7 linked regions of the Oryza sativa Japonica Group genome follow. The protein of the gene in region 1 binds, or shares a complex with, the protein of each later gene. Links are inferred from orthologs where the notes say so. Each region holds a gene or a part of one and is shown in the gene's direction. Other genes may lie near its edges.

What was found.
Region 2: large ribosomal subunit protein uL13c (region 1) and uncharacterized protein share a complex: the UniProt entries of both Arabidopsis thaliana proteins name them as parts of the 50S ribosomal subunit. The link is inferred for Oryza sativa Japonica Group from reciprocal best matches to the Arabidopsis thaliana genes emb1473 and emb2184.
Region 3: large ribosomal subunit protein uL13c (region 1) and large ribosomal subunit protein uL1c share a complex: the UniProt entries of both Arabidopsis thaliana proteins name them as parts of the 50S ribosomal subunit. The link is inferred for Oryza sativa Japonica Group from reciprocal best matches to the Arabidopsis thaliana genes emb1473 and EMB3126.
Region 4: large ribosomal subunit protein uL13c (region 1) and large ribosomal subunit protein uL29c share a complex: the UniProt entries of both Arabidopsis thaliana proteins name them as parts of the 50S ribosomal subunit. The link is inferred for Oryza sativa Japonica Group from reciprocal best matches to the Arabidopsis thaliana genes emb1473 and AT5G65220.
Region 5: large ribosomal subunit protein uL13c (region 1) and large ribosomal subunit protein bL28c share a complex: the UniProt entries of both Arabidopsis thaliana proteins name them as parts of the 50S ribosomal subunit. The link is inferred for Oryza sativa Japonica Group from reciprocal best matches to the Arabidopsis thaliana genes emb1473 and PRPL28.
Region 6: large ribosomal subunit protein uL13c (region 1) and large ribosomal subunit protein cL37 share a complex: the UniProt entries of both Arabidopsis thaliana proteins name them as parts of the 50S ribosomal subunit. The link is inferred for Oryza sativa Japonica Group from reciprocal best matches to the Arabidopsis thaliana genes emb1473 and PSRP5.
Region 7: large ribosomal subunit protein uL13c (region 1) and large ribosomal subunit protein bL9c share a complex: the UniProt entries of both Arabidopsis thaliana proteins name them as parts of the 50S ribosomal subunit. The link is inferred for Oryza sativa Japonica Group from reciprocal best matches to the Arabidopsis thaliana genes emb1473 and RPL9.

Annotation. Positions count from the first base shown.
Region 1 is NC_089035.1:31,965,685-31,969,944, forward strand, and holds large ribosomal subunit protein uL13c, read left to right. Parts: upstream 1-1,460; 5' UTR 1,461-1,555; coding exon 1,556-1,780; intron 1,781-2,341; coding exon 2,342-2,527; intron 2,528-2,808; coding exon 2,809-2,979; intron 2,980-3,452; coding exon 3,453-3,572; 3' UTR 3,573-3,805; downstream 3,806-4,260.
Region 2 is NC_089035.1:25,929,496-25,932,102, reverse strand, and holds uncharacterized protein, read left to right. Parts: upstream 1-1,246; 5' UTR 1,247-1,330; coding exon 1,331-1,420; intron 1,421-1,528; coding exon 1,529-1,846; 3' UTR 1,847-2,107; downstream 2,108-2,607. UniProt on the Arabidopsis thaliana protein: Binds the 23S rRNA.
Region 3 is NC_089039.1:18,889,670-18,893,777, forward strand, and holds the start of large ribosomal subunit protein uL1c, read left to right. Parts: upstream 1-1,308; 5' UTR 1,309-1,487; coding exon 1,488-1,856; intron 1,857-1,962; coding exon 1,963-2,142; intron 2,143-2,252; coding exon 2,253-2,307; intron 2,308-2,573; coding exon 2,574-2,701; intron 2,702-3,162; coding exon 3,163-3,246; intron 3,247-4,108. UniProt on the Arabidopsis thaliana protein: This protein binds directly to 23S ribosomal RNA.
Region 4 is NC_089036.1:32,213,695-32,217,301, forward strand, and holds large ribosomal subunit protein uL29c, read left to right. Parts: upstream 1-1,361; 5' UTR 1,362-1,392; coding exon 1,393-1,746; intron 1,747-2,687; coding exon 2,688-2,831; 3' UTR 2,832-3,107; downstream 3,108-3,607.
Region 5 is NC_089039.1:104,682-108,692, reverse strand, and holds large ribosomal subunit protein bL28c, read left to right. Parts: upstream 1-1,211; 5' UTR 1,212-1,254; coding exon 1,255-1,435; intron 1,436-3,050; coding exon 3,051-3,283; 3' UTR 3,284-3,600; downstream 3,601-4,011.
Region 6 is NC_089035.1:9,870,984-9,874,296, forward strand, and holds large ribosomal subunit protein cL37, read left to right. Parts: upstream 1-1,485; 5' UTR 1,486-1,531; coding exon 1,532-1,640; intron 1,641-2,340; coding exon 2,341-2,663; 3' UTR 2,664-2,813; downstream 2,814-3,313.
Region 7 is NC_089036.1:35,818,859-35,823,057, reverse strand, and holds large ribosomal subunit protein bL9c, read left to right. Parts: upstream 1-1,399; 5' UTR 1,400-1,418; coding exon 1,419-1,541; intron 1,542-2,208; coding exon 2,209-2,336; intron 2,337-2,686; coding exon 2,687-2,732; intron 2,733-3,001; coding exon 3,002-3,099; intron 3,100-3,183; coding exon 3,184-3,231; intron 3,232-3,333; coding exon 3,334-3,454; 3' UTR 3,455-3,520; intron 3,521-3,636; 3' UTR 3,637-3,874; downstream 3,875-4,199. Other genes in the region: 4-coumarate--CoA ligase-like 3, read right to left, coding at 1-83. UniProt on the Arabidopsis thaliana protein: Binds to the 23S rRNA.

The DNA of each region.
Region 1 (4,260 bases):
TTGTCGCCAGAAACATAGCCTAATTTTGGGTATATGATCCTATATCACCTGTAGTGCTGACTTGCTTGTGTGTGTGGACAATTTAACATGGGGCAATTACTCATTTGACCCTATTTTGATGTCTAACTATCAATTTGACCTTACTTTTCTAGGTTTGCTCATTTGACCATGCTTTTTAAAATTGAAGATCAGAGATGACCCTATTTTGTGAAGGGTAGATAACGGTGTTAACTAAGAGGGAAATTGTCCGTTTTGCCCCTGCTCATTTACCATATTATATCAAAGTTTTTTCTTCATCGGGACTTTTTAAATATTTGCAATGATTTTCATGGCTTTTACAGATCTGAGACAGATTTGTCTTCAATTTAACAGAATTTTACACAAATTTGACAGCATATTGTCCAACAGCAAAGCATATTGTCCAACAGCAAATCAGATCCAAATCCAACAATAAATTCGTATCCAAATCCATCAACAAATCCAACCACAAGTTATCCTCCGTCTCTCGTTCCACACGACGCACGACGGCAGCCGGCGGCGCCGCCCCTCCGCGCGGCAACAGCCGGCGCTGCTGCCCCTCCTCCACCCTCCGTGCGGCAGCAGCCCCGCCGCCGCTCAATCTCTCCGCTTCGAGCACGGCAGCCGCCGCCGCCGCCGCTCCCTCCTCCTGCGCGCCGACGCCGCTACTCCTTCCCTCCTCGCGCGGCCGCCGCCGCCGCTCGCCGCTCCCTCTCCTTCCTCGCGCGGCCGCCACTCCCTCTCCCTCCTCGCGCGGCCAACGCCGCCGCCGCTCCCTCTCCTTCCTCGCGCGGCCGCCACTCCCTCTCCCTCTACGCGCGGCCAACGCCGCCACCGCCGCCGCTCCCTCTCCCTCCTCGCGCGGCCGCCGCTACCGCTCCCTCTACGCGCGGCCAACGCCGCCGCCGCCGCCGCCGCTCCCTCTCCCTCCTCGCGCGGCCGCCGCCACCGCTCCCTCGATGCGCCGCCAACGCCGCCGCCGCCTCTCCCTCCAGCCCGGTCGGCGGCAGCTCTCCCCGTCACCGGCGAGGTGGGGATTGGGACGAAGAGCTGGGGAATGGAATGGGAATCCTAGGGTTAATTTGTAACACGGGGGTATTTTGGTCACTTTAGGGTAGTATTTTTTTTTTCTTTTTTCTAAGTGATGTTCTACCGGTGAAAGCAAAACAGGTCAAATGGAAACTTCAATTTCAAATAACAGGGTCAAATAAACAAACCTAAAAAAATAAGATCAATTTAGTAGTTGGCCTTTAAAATAGGGTTAAATAAGCAATTATCCCATTTAACATATCGGAATTTCTACGCGTTTCTCTAGCTTTGATGCATCTGTGGGCTGCAAAGCCCAGCTAAGCAAAAGGCCCATCTCTTCCTCTTCCCCTTCTGGCTCCCTCTCCCCCCCTATCCCCTTCTTATCCGCTCTGCTCTCTCCACCTCGCCTCCCCGAAACGAAATGGCAGTGGCGTTCCACTGAACCAGGCCAAGCCAGACGGACAAGACTTCGCCGCAGCCGCGTCCTCCTCACCGCGCCGCCGTCGCAATGGCTACGGCCATCGCAGCCTCCGCGTTCCTCTCCTCCGCCTTCGCCAGGGACAGGCCGCTCCCCCGCCAGCGGCGCGCGGCGAGGCCCGCGACCCGCCGCGCCGCCGCGGGGGGCCTGTCGGTGCGGTGCGAGCAGAGCGAGAAGCAGAAGAGGCAGCCGCTCTCCGCGCTCGTCCCCCGCGAGCAGCGATTCATGTTCGAAGGCGACGAGCTCTGCGGCCCCGTACTAACCCTCACCTCTCTTTCTCTCTCCCGTATACATTCTTCTCTTTCTCAGTTCAGAAAATGAATAGTAATGCTACATTCCTTGGATAAAGGGAAATTTTACCGTGATTTAGGATTGCCGCTTATTTAGGAAAGCTCAAGATTAGTCCCATTCATTTCTAAATCCGTAAGTCACTTCATCTTGCTCTATTGGGTCAAATCCTTTCTTTACATGAATAATGTTAGGGAAAATACACAATGTTTTTACATGTTACTATACCGTATAGACCACCATCTTATTTTATTTAAAGTTATCTAGTTGTAATTTATTACGAAAGAGGATTCCATAAAATGAACTGAAAATAACATGGAGGGAACGTTGGTCTTTCTGAATTGGTCGCTAACATTGTGTTGTATTACTCAACAGTGTTCGCACCTACATGACTACCATATCTTTTTATCTGTGGATGTTTAGGTTTGTGAAGTTAGAATTCAGTACGGATACCATTCTTGTGTTCTTTCTCTCTTTTCTGTGCAACCTGTTCTGTGTAGTGATCGGACCAAGGAATTTAATTTGCAGGACATATGGAACACAACATGGTACCCTAAGGCTGCAGATCATGTAACTACTGAGAAGACATGGTATGTTGTTGATGCAACAGACAAGATTCTAGGTAGGCTTGCATCCACCATTGCAGTACACATCAGAGGAAAGAATGAGGCCACATACACTCCAAGTGTGGACATGGGGGCTTTTGTTGTTGTGGTATGTATGTTTCTTGAAATTAATTTATAAAGTTAAATAGTGCACACAATAAGATCCTCTGTAGTCCCACAAAAGGAAAAGAGGTTTAGCAGCACATACAAATAAGCACCAAAAGGTATCTGGAAGCTGAGGTCCACCTGAAGGCATTTTGAAGCTGATTTCATGTATATATATTTATGTTACTGTGTGCTTTTAATACTAATGCATCTCTGAAGAGTAATTGCTACGCATATACTATTGTAAGTTCCTGAACTACCATGCTGAACTCTATGTTCACATAGGTTAATGCAGAGAAGGTTGCTGTTTCTGGCAAAAAGCGGTCACAGAAGCTCTACAGGAGGCACTCTGGACGGCCTGGTGGAATGAAAGAAGAAACTTTTGATCAGCTTCAGAAAAGGATTCCGGAGAGAATTATTGAACATGCAGTGCGTGGCATGCTTCCTAAGGGCAGAGTAAGACATCATCTCTTAGAGCTCTTATCTAGTCAGTTTCATCAAGTCTTTTTGACCTTAAGTCAGCCTACCTGGGTATACATATGCTCTTATCCTTATTTTTGGTCAATTTCTAATACATATCTGAAAATGGGTATCCTCGTTCTGTTCCATTATACTTCATTATTGTGTATAATTCCCCAACTTTATATACCCTGTTCATGGAAATATTCGCTCTAATTGAATGCCGAAACGGCGTGGGCTAACGAAGTACTAGATGTATTCTCCCAAAACTCCTATGTTGCCTGTAAGACATCTTATGATTGCCTAAAGCCTTTTACTTATGCCTAAGTTCATTTATAAAAAAAAAAAACGTTTACTATGTCAACCTCTCAAGTTCTCATATGTTAGTGACACTGACACATGTAATCCGACCAACTACAGCGGTTGTACGTGCTCTATGTAGCCTTCTCAACATTTTGAACATTTTGCAGCTGGGAAGAAGACTGTTTACCCACCTCAAGGTGTACAAGGGAGCAGAACATCCCCATGAGGCTCAAAAACCTGTTCCACTGCCTATCAAGGATAAAAGAATACAGAAGTCTGAGAAGTAGATAATTCCTGTGGAGACTAAGAAAGACACAACAATCTCACGTAAATTCCTCCCCTCGAGATTTTGTCCAATCTTTGGAATGTGATGCATCTGTCTGTTTGGGGAATGGAGTGTAAAATTTTTTGTAATTTACTTCCTCCAAAAGTTTGTGTTTCTAAGTCATAGTTCTTGTTGATTACATATCATGTACCTAATACCGTACGATTTTAAGCAATCCGATATTTCCATATCCAATTGAGTAGTGCAATTTTGACCTGAGATGAGCTTGATGTGTCATTGTTTGGGGGCAAAAGTGTTCTCTTTTTTCAATGGGCATCAGGTGTTTCTAAATTCTCTTAATAGTTGATGTAGATCTGTTAATTAATTGCACGTCCGTGTTTATCTTCCATATAACGAAAAAGTTGACAGTACCAATCGTGTGCTCAAGTAACACCTATTGTACCATGTACTCATTCTGTAAAAAAAAAGCCAATTTAGATGAAGATCTGATACCACCTAAAAATAATGATTAGGAGGTTATCCAGATTTATATTAGGTGGTATCAAATTTTCATCTACGGGGTTGTTTAGATCCAGAGGTGTAAAGTTTCGACGTATCACATCGGATATTATATAGAGTGTCGCATAGGGTGTTCGGTTACTAATAAAAAAAACTAATTACAGAATCCGTCAGTAAATCGTGAGATAAAT
Region 2 (2,607 bases), about 6.0 Mb from region 1:
GGCTTAGCGCTCCCCTCCATCTTTCACCGGCGGCGTGGGGTCTGTGACCGCCACTCCCCTCCAACGCATGGGTTGGGCTCGGCGCTTCCCTCCACCTTCCACCAGCGATGCAGGGTTCATGACCGTCACTCCCCTCCAGCTCCACCTCCCTTCATTGGGTATTAAGCTTGCAATCGTCACCGGATTGGCAACGCCCTCATCGAAGAAGCTCTCTCCGTGCAGTCGTCGACGAGCCTGAGAACCGCCAGATTTTCGCCTGAGTTGAAGAAGAAACTGATCTGCGTTGTGCGGTGTTGAGCTAACAGAGGTATTGACAGTTGTTGTAACGGAGTGGCATAGCTCAAATTTTGCAAAATTTCAGTGGCATGAACCTGATATCGTGAATAGTAATGGCAAATTGGTAAACTTGCAATAACATGATCCAATTAACCCATATCTTTGGGGAGGCTAATGCGCACGTACGTGCTAGCAATTTAGCTGGCGCCCGCGTCAGTTGGCCCCCTCCCCTGTTCCCGCGTGCTTTTCTTTCTCACTTTTTTTTTACGATTTTGGCGCCTGGATCCGGGTGCGTTTTTCTTTTTTTTCGCCATTTCTTTCTATTTTTTTAATCTTTCGCACACCCCTTTACAAATGTAGAGTTGAAAGTTTTAAATTTTGACTTCAAAGTTTTTAAATTTGACTTGAAAGTTTTCAAATCTGAGTTGAAAGTTTTAAATTTGAGTTGAATTTTTTCAATTTGAGATGAAAAGTTGAAAGTTTTCAAAATTTGACTTTAAAAAAAATTCAAATTTCGAGTTGAAAGTTTTCAAATATGGGTTGAAAGTTTTCAGAATTTGACTTGATGTATAAATTTCTTTTCAATCTGTTACTTTAAAAAATTTTCGGAAAAAACAAATCTTATCTTGATTATCTAAAACTAATGTATTTTTTTACACGCTAAAACTAATGGACTAGTTACTACATGCGCTATGGAAAGAATCTAACCGCGCCCGTGCGGTGCCGTGCATACGCGTGGGCCAGAAGTGCGCGCCCGCGGCGCGTATGCGAGAATTAGGAATTCTGCATATTTTTACCACGTAAACGAAATAATTGCATACATTTTTTTTTCTGGGCCAGTAAGTAACCAACGTGTATCAGCCCAAACCAAACAACAATTAAGAAAGCCCAGCCAAAGCGAGGCAGGCGAGCGGCCACCCGCACGGCACCAAAGCCTCAAAAATTGAGAATCATCAACGCTTGAGAGGATAACACACACCAGAAACCGATAAGGGACACGAAACAGGGGAATCCGGAGCAAAGTGCGACGCGAGCGCGCGAGGAAGCAGCAGCCATGGCGCTCTCCCTCTCCACCTCCTTCCTCCCGACCCAAGCCGCCGCGGCGGCCACGAGGACCACCCTCCGCTCCCTCGTCCCCTCCCAGGTACGATTCCTTCGATGCCCCCACAACCGCGTAGGCGTAGCGCCGCCGAATCGGAGATTCGGAGGAGGTGATTGGAACTGGGCGGTGGTGTGACGATTTGCCGTGCAGAGGATGCGGTGCTCGATGCGGAAGAAGGGGCTGCACCCGGAGATCTACGAGGACGCGAAGGTGTACTGCAACGGGGAGCTGGTGCTGGTGACGGGGGGAACCAAGCCGGAGTACACGGTGGACGTGTGGTCGGGGAACCACCCCTACTACGTCGGCGACACGTCGGCGATGGTCGTCATGGACAGCCAGATCGAGAAGTTCCGCAAGAAGTGGGGCCACATCAAGGAGTACTGGCCCGAGGACCAGTGGAGGGAGATGCACCCCGACGGCGACCCGGAGTTCGACCCGGAGGAGGAGGGATCCGCCGGCGCCAGCTGAGCCCCCGCTTCGCCTCTCGCCTCCGCCGCCGGCCTCGCCGGTGCGGTTTCTCTTGGTTGATTTTGGGAATTGCGTAAAATGGATTAGCTCCTCTTGCTTGCGCCTCTCGTTACACGTGCATTCGCATTGCTCTCTAGGTGTTCGATCGGTGTTCTCAGTGGATACGTGTGATCATATTTGTGGTATCGAACTGTTTGTTCTCTGCCTGTACTCTTTGACATCGATATAAAATGGAGATATTGCAATTTGCACACTCTGTAATTGGACATTTCCAACTCGTTGAATCGATGCATGCTAGTGTTGGTCTGGGCTCTCGAATAGAATCGTTGCATACATCAGTTTGTCCGGTCTTCAGAATAAGCAGTAAGGGGCTGTTAGTTCACGTACTAACATTGCTAAGGTTTACCATGTTTTCTCGCTAAAGTTGAGGCCATCAAAATCCAAGCCACGCTCTAGCCAATAAAGGCTATGTTTAGTTCCCAAAAACTTTTCGCAAAAACATCACATCGAATCTTTGGACACATATACGAAGCATTAAATATAGATAAAAAAAATTAATTACACAGTTTACATGTAAATCGCGAGACGAATCTTTTGAGTCTAATTAGTCTATGATTAGCCATAAGTGCTACGGTAACCCACATGTGCTAATGACGGCTTGATTAGGCTCAAAAGATTCGTCTCGTGGTTTCCAGTAACCCACATGTGCTAATGATGGCTTAATTAGGCTCAAAAGATTCGTCTCGTGGTTTCTAGGCGAG
Region 3 (4,108 bases), on another chromosome or scaffold:
GCGAGAGAACACCTCGTTTGCTTTTTCAAACGGAAGGAGACGGCGTCGGGTGGGGGGACGCCCTGGAGACACGCATTGTTGATGCTCTCAGAACCCATGAATTGCATAAGATTAAGACATTCAGTCCAATTTCTTCCAATATTCTTTCTAAAAGAGATCTTGTAAAGTTTGCATGTGACAAAAAAAAAAGAACTACTACATAACACTATACTGTTACAACAGAATACCTTATGGTGCTAACATCAGCACAGGATCGTAGGTATCATATTTGTATGTGCACTGGATCTGGTACTACCAGACACGATATCCATTAATACCACATTATCAGACTCTCGTATTGGTTCCTATTTCCTTCGTCCCATAAAAAATCAATTTCTAGGAATGAATCCGGACAACATTCTTAGGACATTCACAGTGCGCTACATATTTTTGCCGTTCCTCATATGCCACGTAGACGAAGAACCTGTTAAGCTTCATCCTCTACAATGCAAGTACTAGTAGTGGGTCCCACCGGTACAGTTTTTTCAATTTTCATCTCTCAATCTCTCTCTCTCCTCTGTTTCTTTTCTCATCCGAAATCTTTCATCCCCCAATCTCTCACTCTATTTCTTTTCTCACCAGGGCATCCGAGGCGCTGGGGCTGAGCGGCGGCGGCTGTCAGGGCAGCCCGAGCTGCGACGGTGCCGGACGGCGAGCTCCCATCCTCATCATTGGATACGGTGGCGGTCGCAGCCTCTTCGTCGATGGCGCCTTCCTCTCTCTCTCTCCCCGTGGCTGTGGCGACAATGCGCTCGCTGTCGACGCTGCGCGAAGCCACTCGTGTGAGGCTCCGCCCTCCACAACACGACAACTCACCTTTCTCCCTGCTTTCTTCGTTTGAAGAACGAGTATCCATGTTTGGGTACGAGAACCTTATTTGGCTCCGCGTACTGTCAATGCGGCGCCGAATATTCAGTTCTTGGCTATGGGGCTGAACGTCACATCCTTCTACTGTGAACACTCTTAGAAGTTGTATCTTTTGGGATAGAGAGTGTAGGTACTCTGATGGTACGGCCAGACATTTCTGATACTCTCGCAACTAACAGATTATGGGTAATGGTTCGTAGTATTTTTAAAAAGTAAATAGCACTACATTATCGGTGGTTCTTTTGGACCGTACCCAGTAACGGCGAAATCGTGAGCTTTTGGGCCCAATCCGACGCCCGCGGCGCCGCAGCGCACCACCCTCCCCCAACCGTCTCCCCCGCGCGCGCGGGCACACACGGCTCGGCTAATCCAAAATAGCCCAAATCGCACGAGTCCTCCCCCGTCCCCCGCGACGCGCGAGCGAGAGAGAGCCCTATCCGCTGCGCGCTTCGCCCGCTCGCCTCGCCCTCGCCTCACCGGCTATTATAACACTCTCGCGCTGCCACTTCGCCTTTTCCTCCCCTTTCTATCCTCCACCTCGGCTTATCTCCTCCCCCCTCCCCACCACCACCACCACCACCATGGCCACAGCCGCTTCCCTCTCCGCCACCGCCTCCTCCCTCCTCGCCCCCGCCCCCGCCACCACCGGCGCCGCGGCGGCGCAGTGCTGCTCCTCCTCGTCCACCGCGCTGTTCCCCACCCCCGTCCCGTCGCTGCGCGCCTACTACCCGCGCCTGCTCCTCGCGTTCCGCCGCCCCGCCGTCGCCGCCGTCGCAGACCCGCAGGGCGCCGTGCTCGAGGAGGAGCAGGGGGAGCAGCAGGACGAGGGGCAGGAGCAGTACGACGACGACGACTACGACGACGGGTACGAGGGCGGACGCGGCCCCGCGTTCACGCCCCCCACCCGCCCGCGCACCGGCAAGGCCGCCCTTCCGCTCAAGCGCGACCGCGTATGCCCCCCCCGAATCCAGCCTCCCCCCCGCGTGTTCATCCATTCGTGTTGATTTTTGGATTGACGCTGACGCCGCGTTCGCCTTTTTTTTGATGGGTTTGCAGACGAGGTCGAAGCGATTCCTGGAGATACAGAAGCTGAGGGAGAGCAAGAAGGAGCACGACGTGCCCACGGCCATCTCGCTGGTGAAGCAGATGGCCAGCGCCCGATTCGTCGAGTCCGCTGAGGCGCACTTCCGCATGAACCTCGACCCCAAGTACAACGACCAGCAGCTCCGCGCCACGGTTATTGCTCTTTCTCTCTGCTGTTGCCATTGTTACGTACGTTCTGTTCTGGCTTGTGTTTTATCAATCGTTTTTGATGATATTGGATCGGTTTTGGTGATGATGTGCAGGTTAATTTGCCCAAGGGGACGGGCCAGTCGGTGAAGATTGCGGTCCTCACACAAGGTGGGTTGCAATTACATTTTGGAGATTGTTATCGCAGCACCAATTCCAATTGCAATCTTTGGTGCATGGATTGATTAGGTCACTGCTAGTTGTGTCTTTTAGGTGTGGTTTGCCTGCTTGATCATGTGGTTATTTACGGTTCATTAAATTGGAAGCACGCTGTTATATAGTGAATTGAAATGGAAGTATGTGAATGCGCGCTAGTCACTAAAGTGGTGCACTAATCACTAGCACTATGTAATGGCTATTGTCAAATATCCTTGCAGGTGAGAAGATAGATCAAGCAAGAGCTGCAGGAGCTGATATTGTCGGTGGAGATGACCTGATTGACCAAATAAAAGGAGGATTTATGGAATTTGACAAGCTGATTGCATCACCTGATATGATGCCTAAGGTATGGCATTAGCTGCATAACTCATGTCTAAAACAATTCCAAGCATTATGAAGACTTGTCTTTTTGCATGTCTCCGACATAGTTTATCCCACATCCAAATGAACACGTTATGTTTCAGTGTTATTAGGAACCACAAAACCAGGCAACATTTAGTTGTATTGATCAGATATTGTTTTCTTATCATTACCTGCCATATCTGATCCATCCCTTCATATTACAAGTGTCTAGCATTTACGATTATGATTTGAGCCATAATGGAGATATGCAAATTTGGTTCACTCAGAGAAAATAGATTCGATAAGCAAATAAGGTTCTACTGTTTTGAATTGGTACATTCTTCGGAAGTTTGGATGCAGTTCTGCAATAAGTGTTGAGCTCCATGCAAGACCTGCATGGAAGTTTTAAAGGTGTGCTACTAGCTCGGCATATTATGTTGTTGATTTTGGTCTTTTGCTTCACAGGTCGCCGGATTGGGAAAGATTCTAGGACCGAGAGGACTTATGCCTAACCCCAAAGCTGGGACTGTTTCTCCAAACATAACTCAGGTACAATGGAAATTCTACAGATTACTATATGTATTGACACTGTTGCTTGTGGTTTTCTCTCCCATTTGCTTGGTTATTGTGACCCTGAGTGAAAGGTGGGTAACTGTCCATTTACCTTCTTTGATCCTTGGTGAACTTCTGTTTTATCCTCGTTCAATGCAATAGGCAGAACTCCTGCCCTTTTGTTCAAAGAAGTTGTCCATTTACGTCATCTCAGTACTTACCTCATAGATGCACTTCTGGGAGAAAACCTACTGATATATTGCTACCTTGTTTAGTAGTCTTCATTGTGTGTGCAATATATTTCAGTGGTTCGATTTTCAGACATGTTGATAGACATTTTTTTAACCTTGTTATTCGTAGATAGAAGGTTTGAAATTTTGTTTGTGCCAACTGAATTTGAGGATATGCATGGATGCATAGCTCCATCGTTCGTTTGTTGGCTTATCAACGGCAGCCAAAATCTGGATTTTGAAACTTAATTTAGAATTGATTTTGAGGGGTTTTTTTTATTGTGCTTTATTCTCCAGTGCTGGCTTTTGAATCGCTAAGAACATAGATATAGACGTTTTACTCAAAAGTTATTTTTGGTTGCTTCGTCATTTTTCCACGGCTTATCAGCCATAGAGCAAATGATCGTGTAATGACTGATGATGATGGTAATCTGCTACTTAGCCTGCATAGTGCCTCCGTAACAGTTATGTAAAGCATCACAACAAATCTGCAAAATAGAGAAAACAGGTAAAGTAGGCTACTTGACTGTTAGGAACAACCATCATTTATAACGGTTAACTGAAGGACAGGAGTGGGAGCATTTGTGAAAAATCTAGCCCTTTAGGTAATGAACTGGGCTATATTGTGC
Region 4 (3,607 bases), on another chromosome or scaffold:
CATTACGCATTTACGCTCACAGTGAAAGATCAAATCTCTCTCTCTCAAAAAAGGAGTGCAACAGTCAGACTTGATGCACAATCCATATGCTTCTTGATTCTGCATACCTTTCTGTCATTGTGTATTCAGCTTGTTAATTTCTGCTTTACATCGTTGAAGTGTTTCTGGTTGCTAAATAGGACAAATTTTATACTTGTAGATATACAAATACACTTAATTGAACTTGATTAACATAATTCTGTACAGAGCACAGCTTAAGCAGGCAAAGGTGAACAGAGATGTAGTTAACATGCCTTGGTGCTGATGTGTGAAGGTGTTCCAGATGCTTGGTCTTCTGCTACCCTCAGCTGCACCACCCTCGTACTGTAAGTCAAGAAAGGCCAACTCTTCAGATTTCAGACAAAGACAAAACATGTTACAATGTGACAGTTAATTTTTGGCAACTCATTCATTCCTTGGTGCCAATCTGAGCATTATTCAGTAGCATCGTGTAACACGCAAAAATCAACGAAAACAACAAAAGAAATTCCTTCTTTTTTCTTAATTACAGGTGGAATTAATCAGCTGTGGTGTGAAACTGTGAACCCGTAGGGAAGCAGGGGAGGGAGCTCCCGCTCCTGCATGACGGCATCCGGCGGCGGTAGCACGGTCCTCAGCCACGCCCTTTGTTGCACGGCCAGTGGCCTCCGTCCGAGATCCCCTTGGTGCCGCGACTTGGGGAGAGAGGCGGTCGGCGAATCAAAAGGCAGAAGCGAAGACGGACGTAGCGATGCATGTGATTTCCTCCTCCCCATCCCCAAGCACGGCAACCGAACTCATCGCCCCATCCAGCGACGAGGTGGATCTATGCCACCGCCGCCGAACTTGAGGGGAAAGACGGCACAGAACGGCGCGCTGGCGCGTGGGAGGGTCAGCCTAGGGCGTCGGAGGGGCGGAGGTGGAGCTGGAGCGCGGGGAGGAGGAAGAGGCGGCGACATCGGCGTAGGAGGACAAGTCGACCTCCGACGAATGAGGCGGAGGAAGCGGGGGCGGGGGCGCCGGCGGAGAGAAGGGCATTGCAGGTTTGGTATAACTTTTTCAAAAAGACCCCTAAAACCTCACATATTACAACGAGGTCCACCGCAGCTATTCCACACCGTTGATCTGTGATCTGACGGCTGCGAGAGGGAGACGAAAGCTGGAATCGTGCAGCGCCACGTGGAGGGGTTATTTGCACGCGAATCCGCGTAGATTTCGATATTTAGAGATGTGACATGCATATTAAGCAAGTGAAAGCCGTCCGATAATGCTTGAAGATTCGTGCCCCGAGTGGCTAATCAACATGACCAGATAAACCCCCTTATCCACGAACCCCGACCGGCAGAGAGCGCAGACGCGAGCGCAGCGCAAAAGATGGCGACGATGTCCCTCGCCGCGGCGTCCCCCCTCGCCTCGACTCCCCGTGGGCTCGCCGTCTCCACTCCCCGCACGGCCTTCCTCGGCCTCCTGACCGGAGGGGCGTCGCTGGCGCCGTTCCCGGGACTGGCGGCGGCGGCGGCGCCGCCGCGGCTGCCAGCGGGGAGGGGCGACGCGGCCGTGGCCAGGATGGCGAAGAGGGAGCAGGAGCTGGAGGAGATTCGGGCCATGCCGACGGAGAAGATCGAGGAGGAAGTGGTGGACCTGAAGGGGGAGCTCTTCATGCTCCGCCTCAAGCGCTCCGCGCGCCAGGAGTTCAAATCCAGCGAGTTCGGCCGCATGCGCAAGAGGGTATGTCTCTTACTCCATGGGGTACAGATATACCACAACTGCTAATTCCATTGCGAAAGTTTAGCATTTACTCCTGGCCAAAATGCGTTCAACCTACGAGTGGAAATTCCACCTTCTACTTCCAAATGGGTGTGGAGTGGTCGCATGTTCTGCTCAGTGTGTTCTGTTTACAAGGCCCTTTTGTTCAACCTCTAGTACTGAGTTGATTATGTTCAGATATATTGAGTTGATTTCAGGTTCAGAATAGTGGAATAACTTACCAATTTGTTGGTGGAATTTTGCCTGATTTTTATCAGTTGCATATTGGCCCATACTGAATTTACAGATGATTTGGGTTAATGCTTGGACAATTTCAGTCTCAGAAGCAATTTTTTTTTACTTAATTTGATTAGAAAGTCATGCTGACATCCATTTACGTATTCTTACATAGTATCTACTTTGGGTTTGTAGTATTGTTTATTGGATTTTAGTGCATAGAGTACTACATGAAGAATGATATTGCAATGCAATGTGTATCTGAAGAGCTTTTATACTGTTCTTGGGAAAGTAGTGTTAAATTAACCTTCAGTGGACCAAAATTTAAAATGGAACAAAACTTTGTTCTGAGGACGTCAAAATGCAGATAGTACACAAGAACTAATTCTACGGTCAGTTATGTGATACCTTGTTCTTCTTGAGGGCTTCTGATAAGTCAATTGTTATGAATTATCACTTGCTTTGGAGTTCAGGTCTCCACCTCTGCTCAGGGACAGCACAGGACAAATAGTTAGCAGCAGAGTAATGCATACTTATATCTGCCTCGATCAATGCTTCTTGCCTTTTAGGAGGAGGATATCAGATTTTTTTTTCCTGTTGTTTTTCTCACCCTGCTCATCTTGCTTCAATAGCAGCTTTCTACTATCTAAATTTAGCATTGACTTGGGTTGTCATCTTCGCATCAGATTGCTCGTATGCTGACTGTCAAAAGAGAACGGGAAATTGAACAAGGAATCAACAAGAGATTGTCTAGGAAGCTTGACAGGAAATGGAAGCAAAGCATCGTGGTTAGACCACCACCATCTCTAAGGGAGAACAAGGAGGAATAGAGAGCCACAAAAGCAGACAGTCTGTAGAAGTCATTTCATGCATGTCTTGAAGGAAGGTTTCTTTCTCCCTGTGGTTTCATTCCTTATAATGGATTGATATGTAATTCACATTAACTGATTTCCAAGTCCTTGCTGTCAAAACCAAAAGTTCTATTACCAATTCCATTTGTGTAAATTTCAGTTTATTCAAAATGTGTTGTCCATATATGCACTTATATTACTGATATATGAAACTGTGCTTAACGAGTGTATGCTATACACTTGTTGAAACTCAAACTGCCTATTCAAATTCACCTGTCACAAAGTTGTGGGTACGTACATACTATAAGAGGCAGATATGCAGAGTTCTAAAGAAGTGTCTCTGGAATACGGAGTAACAAAAACAAGAGAATTAGGCCATGTCTATAATAGTTCGCTTGGAATTTTGGTGCCCTGCTTTGCTCCAAACTCAAGTTCACTGTTTTATCAAACGTTTCAAAACTGTACAACTGTCTCCAAGCCCACGTTCTTGTGGCTTGTTGTGTCGGTCACCTAGATTTATGTTATTGTTCAACACTGATTTATGCTTAAACTAGCTCTGTTAGACTGTCCTAAAGCATGTTGGGCTTTCCCCTTCTACTCTAGCTTTAGAGTATGCTGCAGGTATCTCTGCACAGAGCTAGGGAGCCATCCTAGATCCATCATCAGTTTCATAAGCAAGCCCAGGTGGCTTGGCCCTTCAGCCAAAACTTGTTATTCTGATCTCTTCAACAGATCTTAACTTGAGATGTAGAGAG
Region 5 (4,011 bases), on another chromosome or scaffold:
CAACACTGGTAGGACAGACAACAATCCTCCACACCGCCTGCGAGAGGGTCCTCTTCCTGTCTTCCTGGCCATCAAGGAGGAGAGAATCAACTCCACATCTTCTCGGGTGACCTCTTTGATAGCTCCTTCGGCGAGGGATGGGTGGGCGGAAGTCAAGGAGGCTGTTCTTGAAGACGGAAAAGAGAAGTAGGGGCCGGCTCGACCTCGACCCGGTGTTGCGATGTCGTCGCGAGCATGCCGGTCTGTCTCCTCCGAGAGCTCCACTGTCTCCACTTCAAAAGCCATCAACGAGGAGGAGCCCAAGAGCGATGTGGAGGAGTATGAGGAAGAGGAGGAGGTGGACCAGTGGGTAGAAGTGTGCTATCTGGAATGGAGGTTGATGCGAAGGGGATCTGGAAGTGGGAGCCAGACTTTTGCTACTGTCCCCATCTTGGATGCTCGCGAGAATGTGTGGGAGTTGGTGGTGTGCGACACGACATTGTCCCTCTAGTTCACTTGCTTCTTCCCCAACACCTCCATCAACAACGTCACCCTCCGCATGCGTACTCATCTTCATCACTACCGCTTGAGCTCAAGTTTTGCCGCCACCACCGCAGCACCCCCTTCCCATCCCCGCGGCTCCTCACACTCCTGACACGACTGGGCTTTCCTGCAGATAGCTCATGAGCTCGAACTCGCCGGCTCCCTCACCTACCTCCTCTTCTCCCCCGTCGTGGACCACTGGAGCCACCTCATCACTGACCTCCCACCACCATTACCACCTCCCGTGGATGGGCTCGCTGGCCGCCGCCCCTCTCCCCACTGGAGGAGATGGGAAAGAGAGGGGGGAGGTGGAGAGATGGGGAAGAGAGGGGACAGGTTGGGAGGAAGTCCACTTTAAATTTTAATTTTCTGATTGGTATGCCACGTTAGTGAAACCAGTCATCCATAATACCATGAGACTGACTTGGAAGGTTTTTCCAAAATGGGGGGGAGGGGGTGAAGATTGCTGGTATTGCGGTTTAGAGATACCATTAAACTCGACGTAAAATAAGGGATAATAAGTGGACTTATCACTGTGAGTAATACTAGTAGTAATGAGAGTTGGGCTTGGGCCGCCCTTTTCTACAGTACTACGATATATGGGCCCCTGCTCACACAGTACATAGAGAGACGATTATGATAGGATAGGAGAAACAAGTTGTACGCCACGCCGCAGCCGCACAAGACTTGATCCTCTTCTTCTTCTTCTTCTTCCTCCAGGCTCCAGTGGCGATGGCGACCATGCTCTGCTCCTTCACGCCCGCCACCAGGGCTCCGCTCCTTCGCACTTCCTCCTCCTCTTCCTCTCTCGGCTTCGCCACCTCGCAACTCGCCGGCCTCAGCCTCGGCCTCTCCGCCGCAGCCACCACCGCGCCCTCCGCCGCCGGTCCCAAGCTCCACCCCATCCTCGCGCGTACGTCATCTGCCTCCTCCTTCTTCTCTCTGTTTCGAGCCATCCACCCGCAGATTGACATTACAGTTTTATATTACACCACCAATGTCATTTCTGCTACTATTAAAGTTGTTACTTTATCCTTCGTTTTTTTTTTGCGCTATCCAATACTCCACTGTATATATACTACTACTAGAACCAGATGACCTATTTGTTAGTAATTGATTGCTTTAATCTCTCGAAAATAGACTAGCTGTCAATCTATTACCATAAACTCAGATCTTTCTTTGTATTTTTAAGAGAATGGAAGCTTTATTGAATTTGGTCGTTCTTTGCACCATGTCAGTGCACAACCAATAGATACCACACAACAAGAAAAACAGAACTAACTCAACGATTAAGGACCTAATATCGGAAGACTAGGTTGCCGCTCATGTGCCTGGGTAAAAAAAAAAAACCTTGACCACATGCTCCAAATGAAGACAAGCCGAACAGACAAAACCCCTGTAATCTGGCTTCTTGAGAATAATCCATGATCGGAGCCAATGTGTGATCAAGAAAATAACCTGCAAAGAAGAAGAAACAATTTTCCTGTCAAAAATCACATCATTCCTTTATAGCCAAATAGCCCAACAAGTCAACTCCTAGTAGAAAAGGAGGCCTAGACTCTTTGTTTTGTCGCAAACTCCATTGTCCAGACATATGTGACACACTCCTAGGTGAAGAAATGTTCGATGCAATCTGGATTAAAGACCAAACTGATCGGGCTAGCCGACATTCAAAAAATAAATGCTTTATCGTTTCTTCCTTGTGGTAAAAACAATAGGTCTTATTCCCTTTTCAATTCCGTTTAGCCAGGTTATCTTTTGTTAACACCACCCCTCGACATAAATACGATAGAAACATTTTCACTTTGAGAGGGATTTTTAACTTCTAGATATGTTTGTTAAAATTGGGAACTCTTGTATGTGCAAGATAATGAGTTTTAACCAAGAATCTTCCATCAGGTGTTAGATTCAATTTAAAGTCATCTTTCTCGTGTGACAACACTATATTAGCAATGCGTGGAAAGAGATGATTCCACGCCACTAACTTAAGGCCAATAATATCCTTGCGCCAAGTGAAATTTAACAGGGTTGTTTAGAATATATTTGAAATGGTTGCTTGTTTATGTCTGACAACCATCTCTTTGTTTCTCTAAGACATAAGCAGAGCTTCTTCTTCTTACTAGTGTATATAAGAAAGAAGGGGGAAAAGAAAAAATATAACTATTCTGGCCATTTCAAGTTATAGTTTTAGTTTTATTCTAAGTCAACCATTCATAACTTTAACTATCAATTTCTTATTTAAAAAGATAATTGTGACTTATCAATTTCTAGAAATTTGTAAAGTTTAACAACATGTTAATTGTACTATATATTATGAAGGTACTTTTCATGATGCATATATAAACACATAAATATTATGATATTAAATGTTTGGCTTATGATAAAGTTAAGGACAAGTAATTTAAAAGGGTGAGATTATACTTTATCTTTTGTTTGCATGATGCCACAAATTATAGAAACTAGTAGTAGTAGGAACAAGATGGCGTGTATGGTGATGTTGTTGTATGATGTGGGGGTGGGTGACTCAGGCCGGATATGCCCCTTCACGGACAAGAAGACCAACAGGGCGAACAAGGTGTCCTTCTCAAACCACAAGACGAAGAAGCAGCAGTTTGTGAACCTGCAGTACAAGAAGCTGTGGTGGGAGGAAGGCAAGCGCTTCGTCAAGCTGCGTCTCTCCACCAAAGCCCTCAAGACCATCGAGAAGCATGGCCTCGACGCCGTCGCCAAAAAGGCCGGCATCGACCTCAACAAGAAATAAATCAAATCATCATCATCATGATGCATACATACATGTATTCTCTCATCAATTGCCGCTGTGCTGAATAGACCAGAGCTGTATGTAGTCCATTATTAAATCCATTCATCTCGATGATGCAATTTATTGTAGAGTACTACAGTATGCATTCATCGGTGGTGGTGGCCGGCTTCGTTTCCTTAAATTTCCTTTTATCCCGTGTTGCTGCTGCAAGTCCGGCTCGAATTGTTTGCTACTAGTGTTTCATTTCGGTCGAGTTCCTAATTAATACTGTATGTTGGTTACGAATTATAAGATGGATGGATGTAACTTGAGCAGCATCAGGTCGTGCAGTTGGCATCTTGCGCTTTTCACTTTAGAGTGTCTTCCAGTCTAAGCTGAAATTGATTAATTATTTTATTTCCTTTTTGGCTATTGATATTTAATAAGAGCCTAAATGAAAGAATTAACTTGTACAAAATTGAAAAGCTGTTTGTTTTGTACAAAAGGAACTCCTACGCCAATATTGATTGTTCTACTGCTATGGCCTGTCTGGTTTGAGATAGCTGAAATTGATGGATTGTTTTATTCCCCTTTTTAGCTATTGATATTTAATAAGAGCCTAAATGAATAATGAACCCCTACAAAATTAGAAGGTTGTTTTTTTTCTCTCTAAAAATGTAGAGACGAGAAAAAGGTGTTGAGTTGTAGACGTGGAGCAACCCGGCAGCTCCACACACGCGCAACCTCTG
Region 6 (3,313 bases), about 22 Mb from region 1:
CTATTATAGATCACCAACCATGCAAAATCTTGCTCTTTCATGGGGCCCATGGCTTCCAAATGAGGGTATCAAATTCTGACTTTGTTGTGCCTAGGAGTTGCGCTTTGTAGGCTGATGCCACCATATACTCACCATGGTTGGTTAGCTTCCAAGTGGTCGTGTCTTCCTCGCCCTCTACGAGATGCACTTCTTGGACTGCATTCCAGACAGTGACGAGCTGACTGATTAGTTTGGTCATCCTAGTTGCAATCGCCGATAGGTTGATGTCGAGTAGCCATTGGCCAGATTTGGTGGCCTACTGTAGAGTTCTGTTTTTCTTCCAGAAAGTCGCTTAGACCAGAGGGGCCAACTTCCTTAAGCCTTCTCCCTTGCAACCAAGCAAAGTCCCAGAATTTCGCTTTTGTACCATCTCCAACTGTCGTCGTCGTTCCCACAAAGAGGAGTTTGCCAATGTTGTCGCAAGGCGTCTCCGACCCCACTCAAAGCTTTCTTAGATAAACAATGTAGCAATCAGTGGCGCTTGGCGAGCCCATGGTTCAATTTTTCGTTTTCAGTATTTGTATTGGGGTGCTGATATACCGAAATTTGGTCCAGAATTATTTGAATTTTCGAACAAAATTTGGTCAAATTTGAATAAATATTACTAAATTCACACAAAAGAATAAAAAAAACTTTGGTCGAACCGGAAATTTGAACCCTGCGAGCCAGCCTGCGAGACTTGTCGTAGATTCTGTAAATCTTCTCTGACACTGATACAACGATGGCTCGTGCATCATCCTCATCCTCCTCTCCGGCAGCATTGATGTCCATGTCGAAGCTACGCTCGGCTGGAGGATCTCTGCACGCTCCATAATCTTGATGGGTGTCCGCGAGCTGAAGGAGCAGAAGCTTCCATCCCCAATGGCGCACGAGAGCTGACGACCCGGATCAACCATTGGCAGCAGCTCCTGTACAGACACCTCCTCGTCCTCGATGCTGAAACTGCTCTACGCCGGCGACGGCGACGGCGACGGCGACGACGAGGAGGAGACATTCTTGATGCGGTACACGGCGGCGCCGGCGCGTGCTTCGGCTTGGAGTGGGAGACGAAGAGGTTGTCGCTAGCTGCTCTTCTCATCACCGATGGGCACCCGCTTGGCCGTCGAACGGGAGGTTCTTGTCGTCGGCGAGCTCCCCCACCTCTTGCTATCCACGTCGAACGCAGGATGTGGCGGCCGGCGGCGGCGTAGGACGCGACGGCGAGCGCGGCCGGGCGGAGGGGACGCCGCCGATGCGGATTGTCGCCGCCACCCGCGGCGGCGGCGGAGGCGGCGAGAGGAGAAAAAGAAAATCAAAATCAAAATTTCTCTCCACCTATGACATGTGGGCCAACTGCCAAGCAGCCTTACTTGACGGAGATTAAATCTGGCCGTTGATTCTCCATCGGACGGCGGAGCGCTCACAGCAGCACAGGCTTATCTCCTCCCTCCGGGCTGATGGGTGGATAGGCTGACGACGGGCCAAGAAGCCGAATCCCACACTGCCCGTGGCCATGGCGCTGCTCCTCTCCCCGACCGTCTCCTTCCTCGCCTCCTCCTCCGCCTCCCCGCCTCGCGCCAGAGCTCTCCCCGCCTCCGCCAATGTCGCCTCCACCATCCCCGGTAACCTCCGTGAACGCCTTCTCCGTACCGGGACTTTTGCGCATAAGTTACTCGGGTTGTGGGGTGTTGGTTCTTGGATTGGATTATGCTGAGTGGGTACGAGGCTATCCATTGTTGTGAGGTGTGATTTGTAATTCGGTGGGAGGATTGGTCTAGATATTTGACGTTGGTGATTCGTGGCGTTTCTGATTCTCTGGGATGCGGTTGGCTCGTTAGGGAATTTCTTCAAACACGTCGTGTGCAGATGCAGTAATTCGTGGGAGATTCCGTGCATTTATCATCTCTGTACAAAGCTAGGTATAATTCATCTCAGTGAACTCTGCAGATTCTCGAAGCTTTGGTTCTTTCGTGCTTAAATGATAATATCAGATGCTATGTAAGCACCGGTCACTGGCAAAGGGTGACATTCGTAGTACACCCTACATTTGGGGCCTGATTGTTAATAGATGAGTAGATTTTACATATCTGTGCTCTGCTAAGATTCATCATAATATGTAATTGAGAACACTAGGATTGTTACTAGTTATTGTACTATATACTATCCATGAAGTGGCACACATGAGCTAGACTTATTAGCTTTCAAGTTTCTTATATGACGGAGATTCTATCAAAATTTTGAAAGTAGCATGCATGTACTCTGAATTCTATATCTAAAATGATGCACATTGAGGCTTGCCATTTGTCCTTTCTGATGCTACAGCCCCAAGGCTCCAGTGCAAGAATCTCTCCTCGCAGAGCCCTCTGAATGCTTCTTTCACCAAGAAGAGGCTAGTTTCTGTCCATGCCTCGGCAGAGGCTGGCGCAGAAGAAGCTGGCACAGATCAACCAGAGGAGCCAAAACCCACGGTTTCGATTGAGACAATGCCGCTCGAAACTAAGCAGAAGATGATCATGGAGCAGAGGGCGAAGATGAAGCTGGCCAAGAAGCTGAGGCAGCGGCGCAGGAGGCTTGTCCAGAAGAGGCGGCTGAGGAAGAAAGGTAGATGGCCACCATCCAAGATGAAGAAGCTCAAGAACGTCTAACCAGCAGTGATGTCGGTCGCTGTTCTTCTGTACACCTCTATGTTCTGTTCATCCGTCTCTGTATTTCCTAAGCTGATGCCCAGCGAATTTTGCTGTTCAAAATATGAAACACAATGTTTGCAAAATGTGATTATTTCTTTCCCGATGAAATTTCATCTTGTATTTTTTAGATAATGGATAAACCGGTCACCGTTAAAAACACACAAAGCCCAGTACTGAACAAATTTTCTTCTAACATGTCCCTCCTTTTTCTCCTTTAGGCTTTAGCTGTCCTACAGAAGTACCACTAAATCTAATGTGTGTTCCCATAGTGGAAATATCATATGCACCTTGATGCCTTCTGTGTTTGTCAAAAACTCAAAATCATAGCAAATTTCAAGAAGCCTTGCTGTGCTGCACTCTATATTTGTGAGGTATTTGCCTGTATATACACTTCCATGATGTGTTTTGTTAGGGCCTCTCACAACTCTTTCGTCTGACCTGATGTTGATTAAAGCACAAAGGATCAACCTGGACAAGGAAATAACTGGAGCAAATTCGGGTTTGTTTGTTGTTTGCCACTTTGTCAGGCACGATGTGAACAATCTGAAGAGTGCCATTTTCGATTTTTTTTCTGATGCCCTTCCTGTTGATGTGGTTGTAAAATTTAT
Region 7 (4,199 bases), on another chromosome or scaffold:
TGGGGCAAGCGGGAGAGCACGAAGGACGCCGCGTCGCCGGCGGCGGCGGCGGCCGAGTACTCGGATTCCAAGATTTCCTCCATGGTATTGGTATCTCGATCTTTGGGTGTAACGATCGATGGAGAATTGGATTGGAGATGAAGCGAAGGTGGAAGAGGGTGTGAGGATTTTTAAAGTTTTGGCGCGCTAGCTAGCTTAGCTAGCTTCGTGGAGTCCGCTTGTTTGGTTTCTCCGATGGCGGGAAGGACGAAGTCATGGACGGCTGCATGACATGACGACGACGATGACATATACTCGATTATATACCCCTCTTCTCTTCGGTTTTCTCATCTCGTTGAGCAGTAGACATACTAATTCAATAAGATATATAATCGCCATTCTTTTTAAGAACGATTTGCTAGGTTTTTTTTTAATTTTTGTTCCTTTCGAGAAACAGGTCACCAGCTGGAGATCTTTGTCAGAAAAAGTACAACAAGATGATACTGGAGTATGATATACGAGGATGATATTTTGATGATACTCGTTGATAATTAAACAATGATACTTGATTATACTCTTTGATATTATTCATGAAGATACGGAGTATTTGCTAATACTCGTTCTTGCACATTGATACTTGATGATACTCGTTGATATTTGCTTATACTATTAATACACGTTTATACGTAATGGTAGCTAGTGATGTATCGTTGAGTTTCAAGATAGCACCAAAATAGTGTTATAATAATATATTTCTCGATTTATGTTATAACATGAATATTAGTGAAGGACCTAATATCAAATAATTAGAAGGGGTGAGGTTACGAATCCAGGTCATTTAGGCTATCACCTTGTGGAGCTAGCCGGAAGACCCCTGAGTGTTTCTCTTAATGTATGTTATAACATCTTGGCATCACATGTACTATCTATCTATCTTAGTAATATCGTCGAGGTATCACGTACATATATATCTCCTACCTTTCTCTATACGTTGAGTGGAAGGGGGTTACAATTTGGTGGATTATTATTACGACTTGTTTGGTATGAAACCATGCCAAAATATTGGCAATGCCAAATCTTGAGTAAATTTTGGTATTACTAAATTTTTGTTATTGTCTATTTGGCTTCACCTTATTGATTTAGCAAAATTTGACTCTAATTCAAATAGTTACGTGTTAACTATTCAAAGTTACCAAATAATTTATTTTTGACCTTTAAGTTATCAAAGAATTAGTAAGGCAAGAAGGAGCGCCAAACCAAAATGACCCTTAATCTTCAAGCCCATGACAACCCCGAAGAAAACCTTTGATACTGGGCCGATTTGAAAGGCCCAAAGCAGCGCAAAGCCCAAGAGAGAGGGCACCAAATCCGTTGGGGAAGTGGATAAGAGAGCAGCAGCCGCAGTTCCTTCCCTTCCCCCGCAATCCATCCCCAACGCCATGGCCTCCACGCTCGCCTGGAGCTCCGCCGCCTCCTCCTCCGCCCCCTCCTCCCGCCTCCCGCCGCGCCGCTCCCCGTCGCTGGTCGTCGTCGCCCAGGGCAAGGTCAAGAAGTATCGCCAGGTTTGGCTTCCACTTGTATTTTCTCTCCACAGTTGCAGCATGTATGTATGTATGTATTTAATTGCGATTCGTTCGAGCTAAGCAGTACTAGTACTGACTGATTGAACAAGCTGTTGCTGGTGATGCTTTTGTTTTGCCTCTTTTAGAACTAGCCATACCCAATGTACTGTCTGTCACCACCCTGTCCACTAATCAGTACAGTAGATTACAAAGCGCATGCGACTGCATTCCATCGATCGAAAAATTCGAAATGCAGCAGCTGTAAGCTTAAGATTACTGTGTGCATTCACACATCTGAGTATAGGAAAAGATACATTGCCATGGACGCATGCTCTGATGCAGTACATGGAAATGGAAGAAACTATCGTCATGTTTTTAATTAGGTGCCTCTTAGCATTGCAACTCAGATGCAAAAGTCATCTCTAATATGATTCTGTATATGCCCCGGAACGCCGGAATTGTTGGTTTGGCCATGCTGTTTGTTTGTAGGGAAAGTTGCAACTAAAAGGCATCTAGATACACCCAGTTCAAAATTTGCACCTGTAAACTGTAAAATGTTCCAAGCCTATGTCATCATCTTCCTTGTCTATTATGCATTTCTATACTTTAGCATGTAATGCACGATTCCGTATTTGATTTACTTCACTTGAGTTTCTTTTTCTCCCAGGTCATACTGACAGATGACATAGCAGAGGTGGGGAAGAAAGGGGACACGCTTAAAGTGAGGGCCGGGTTCTACCGCAACTTCCTTCTGCCAAAGGGCAAGGCAACGCTGCTCACCCCAGAAGTACTCAAGTAATCTTCTGTCTTACAGTCATTTACCACATCTCACGAATTGTATAGGCTATGTTTCAACCAACAGATAGGTGCTCCTAGTAAATTAATTGACGTATGCTTATGTTTCATCGTAGTTGGTTTTCACAGTATGCTGCAGGTGTAAATTTGCAGCTATTTATTCTGTTGTGTTAGCCATTGTATCTCTTGCCTCCTTGTGGAGCCCAGGATTGACATATAAATCTGCAAACTTTTATAGATGCCTATTCTGCATTTCTAGTTCAGTTCTTCTGGGGTGTTCAACATGTTCAATTAGTTCTTGTAAAAGGATGGCTAGTAAGCTACTTAATTTCCTCTGCTGCTGTCTACAGGGAAATGCAAGTAGAACAGGAGAGGATAGATGCTGAAAAGAAGCGGGTAAGTAAACCTATTATTCTATTTGTGGACTCAGTAAGAATTGATATAGTTGAAACTTATTCCTATTTGTTCCTGTCTGTCTAAAAACTACTGTGGTAGTTATACCCTACTAATCCTTGTTCTCCAGGGTACGTAGTTGTGGTTTAGCTTATTTTGTAAAAAGTCTAAAGCATGATTTGTTCCTACCAATATCATTTTCCATAAGAGTATAAGAACTTTCATCCAGTGTTAGCATAATCTTACCCTGTTGAGCATTTGTGCTTGAGTAGGTAAAAGAAGAGGCACAGCAACTTGCCCGTGTTTTTGAAACTATTGGGGCATTCAAAGTGCCACGTAAAGGTGGGAAAGGAAAACAGATATTTGGGAGGCAAGTTTTTATCGAGTAGATAGTTCTTTATGTATCGTCTTATTTTACTTGCACTTAATAACAAGTTTTTCTTCTATTCTACAGCGTCACAGCACAAGATCTTGTTGACATCATAAAGTCACAACTTAATAGGTATGCCCTTCTAAGTGCACTGACAATCACTACCTTTTAAGGAAGGATTGCGATGCTCTATTTGCTGCTGTTGCTTTGCTTACCGGAAACTATTTCATGTAGGGATGTCGACAAGCGTCTCGTGACAGTGCCAGAAATTCGTGAAATTGGGGAATACATTGCAGAGATTAAGCTTCACCCTGAAGTCACAGCTCAAGTAAGGCTGACCGTATATGCGAAATAAGCCCTGAAGCTGCTTGATTGAATCTTTAGTGGATGGTGGGCTTTGGATGAATTCTGATTTCACCAGGTAAGCTCATCTGCAAGGCATTCCATTGTTCCTTACCTTTTGCTCCGTTCTTAAGCTGTCATATACATTTCGTCAATTGTGTTAGCAGCTGAATTCATGCAATGATTTACTTGCAGAGATTTTTGCTGAAACTCCAAGGTGCAGTGTCACATCACGGGGCTTGGTCTTTACACATTGCCACTGTCCATCCTACCTGTAAAGTCAGTTTCTTGCACCTTTTTTTTTTTGACAAATTTATTTGTGTTAATGTTATGGGGTTAAATGGGCATGATGTAAACAACAAAGGGTTCAGAGTCTAGAGCAACTGATACTTGTCTTGTAATCTTGTTTAAAGGTGCACGTTCTTTATAGTCATATAGTTTGATAGAGCTACTACAATATTTGGGTTGGGTGGGCCAAAATGGCACGTAGGCAGTCTGGTGGTCGTAGGTTGGGCCGCTTGGTCGCTGTATTATTAGGCCCAAACATAGGGATTTCAACACATTTTTTAATGAAAACTTTCATCTGAAAAAACCTTCGTTTGGAAACTTCCATCCAGAAACTTTTCATCTGAAACTTTGACACGGACTTTATATGCCAAAAGTGTGTGCCGCGGGCAAAGCTGAGCTAATTAGTCATCCTGTTAGTACATAAACTATTTGGGTTAGATTTGTTTGTGGGTGAGGGTGGAAAAAGTTAG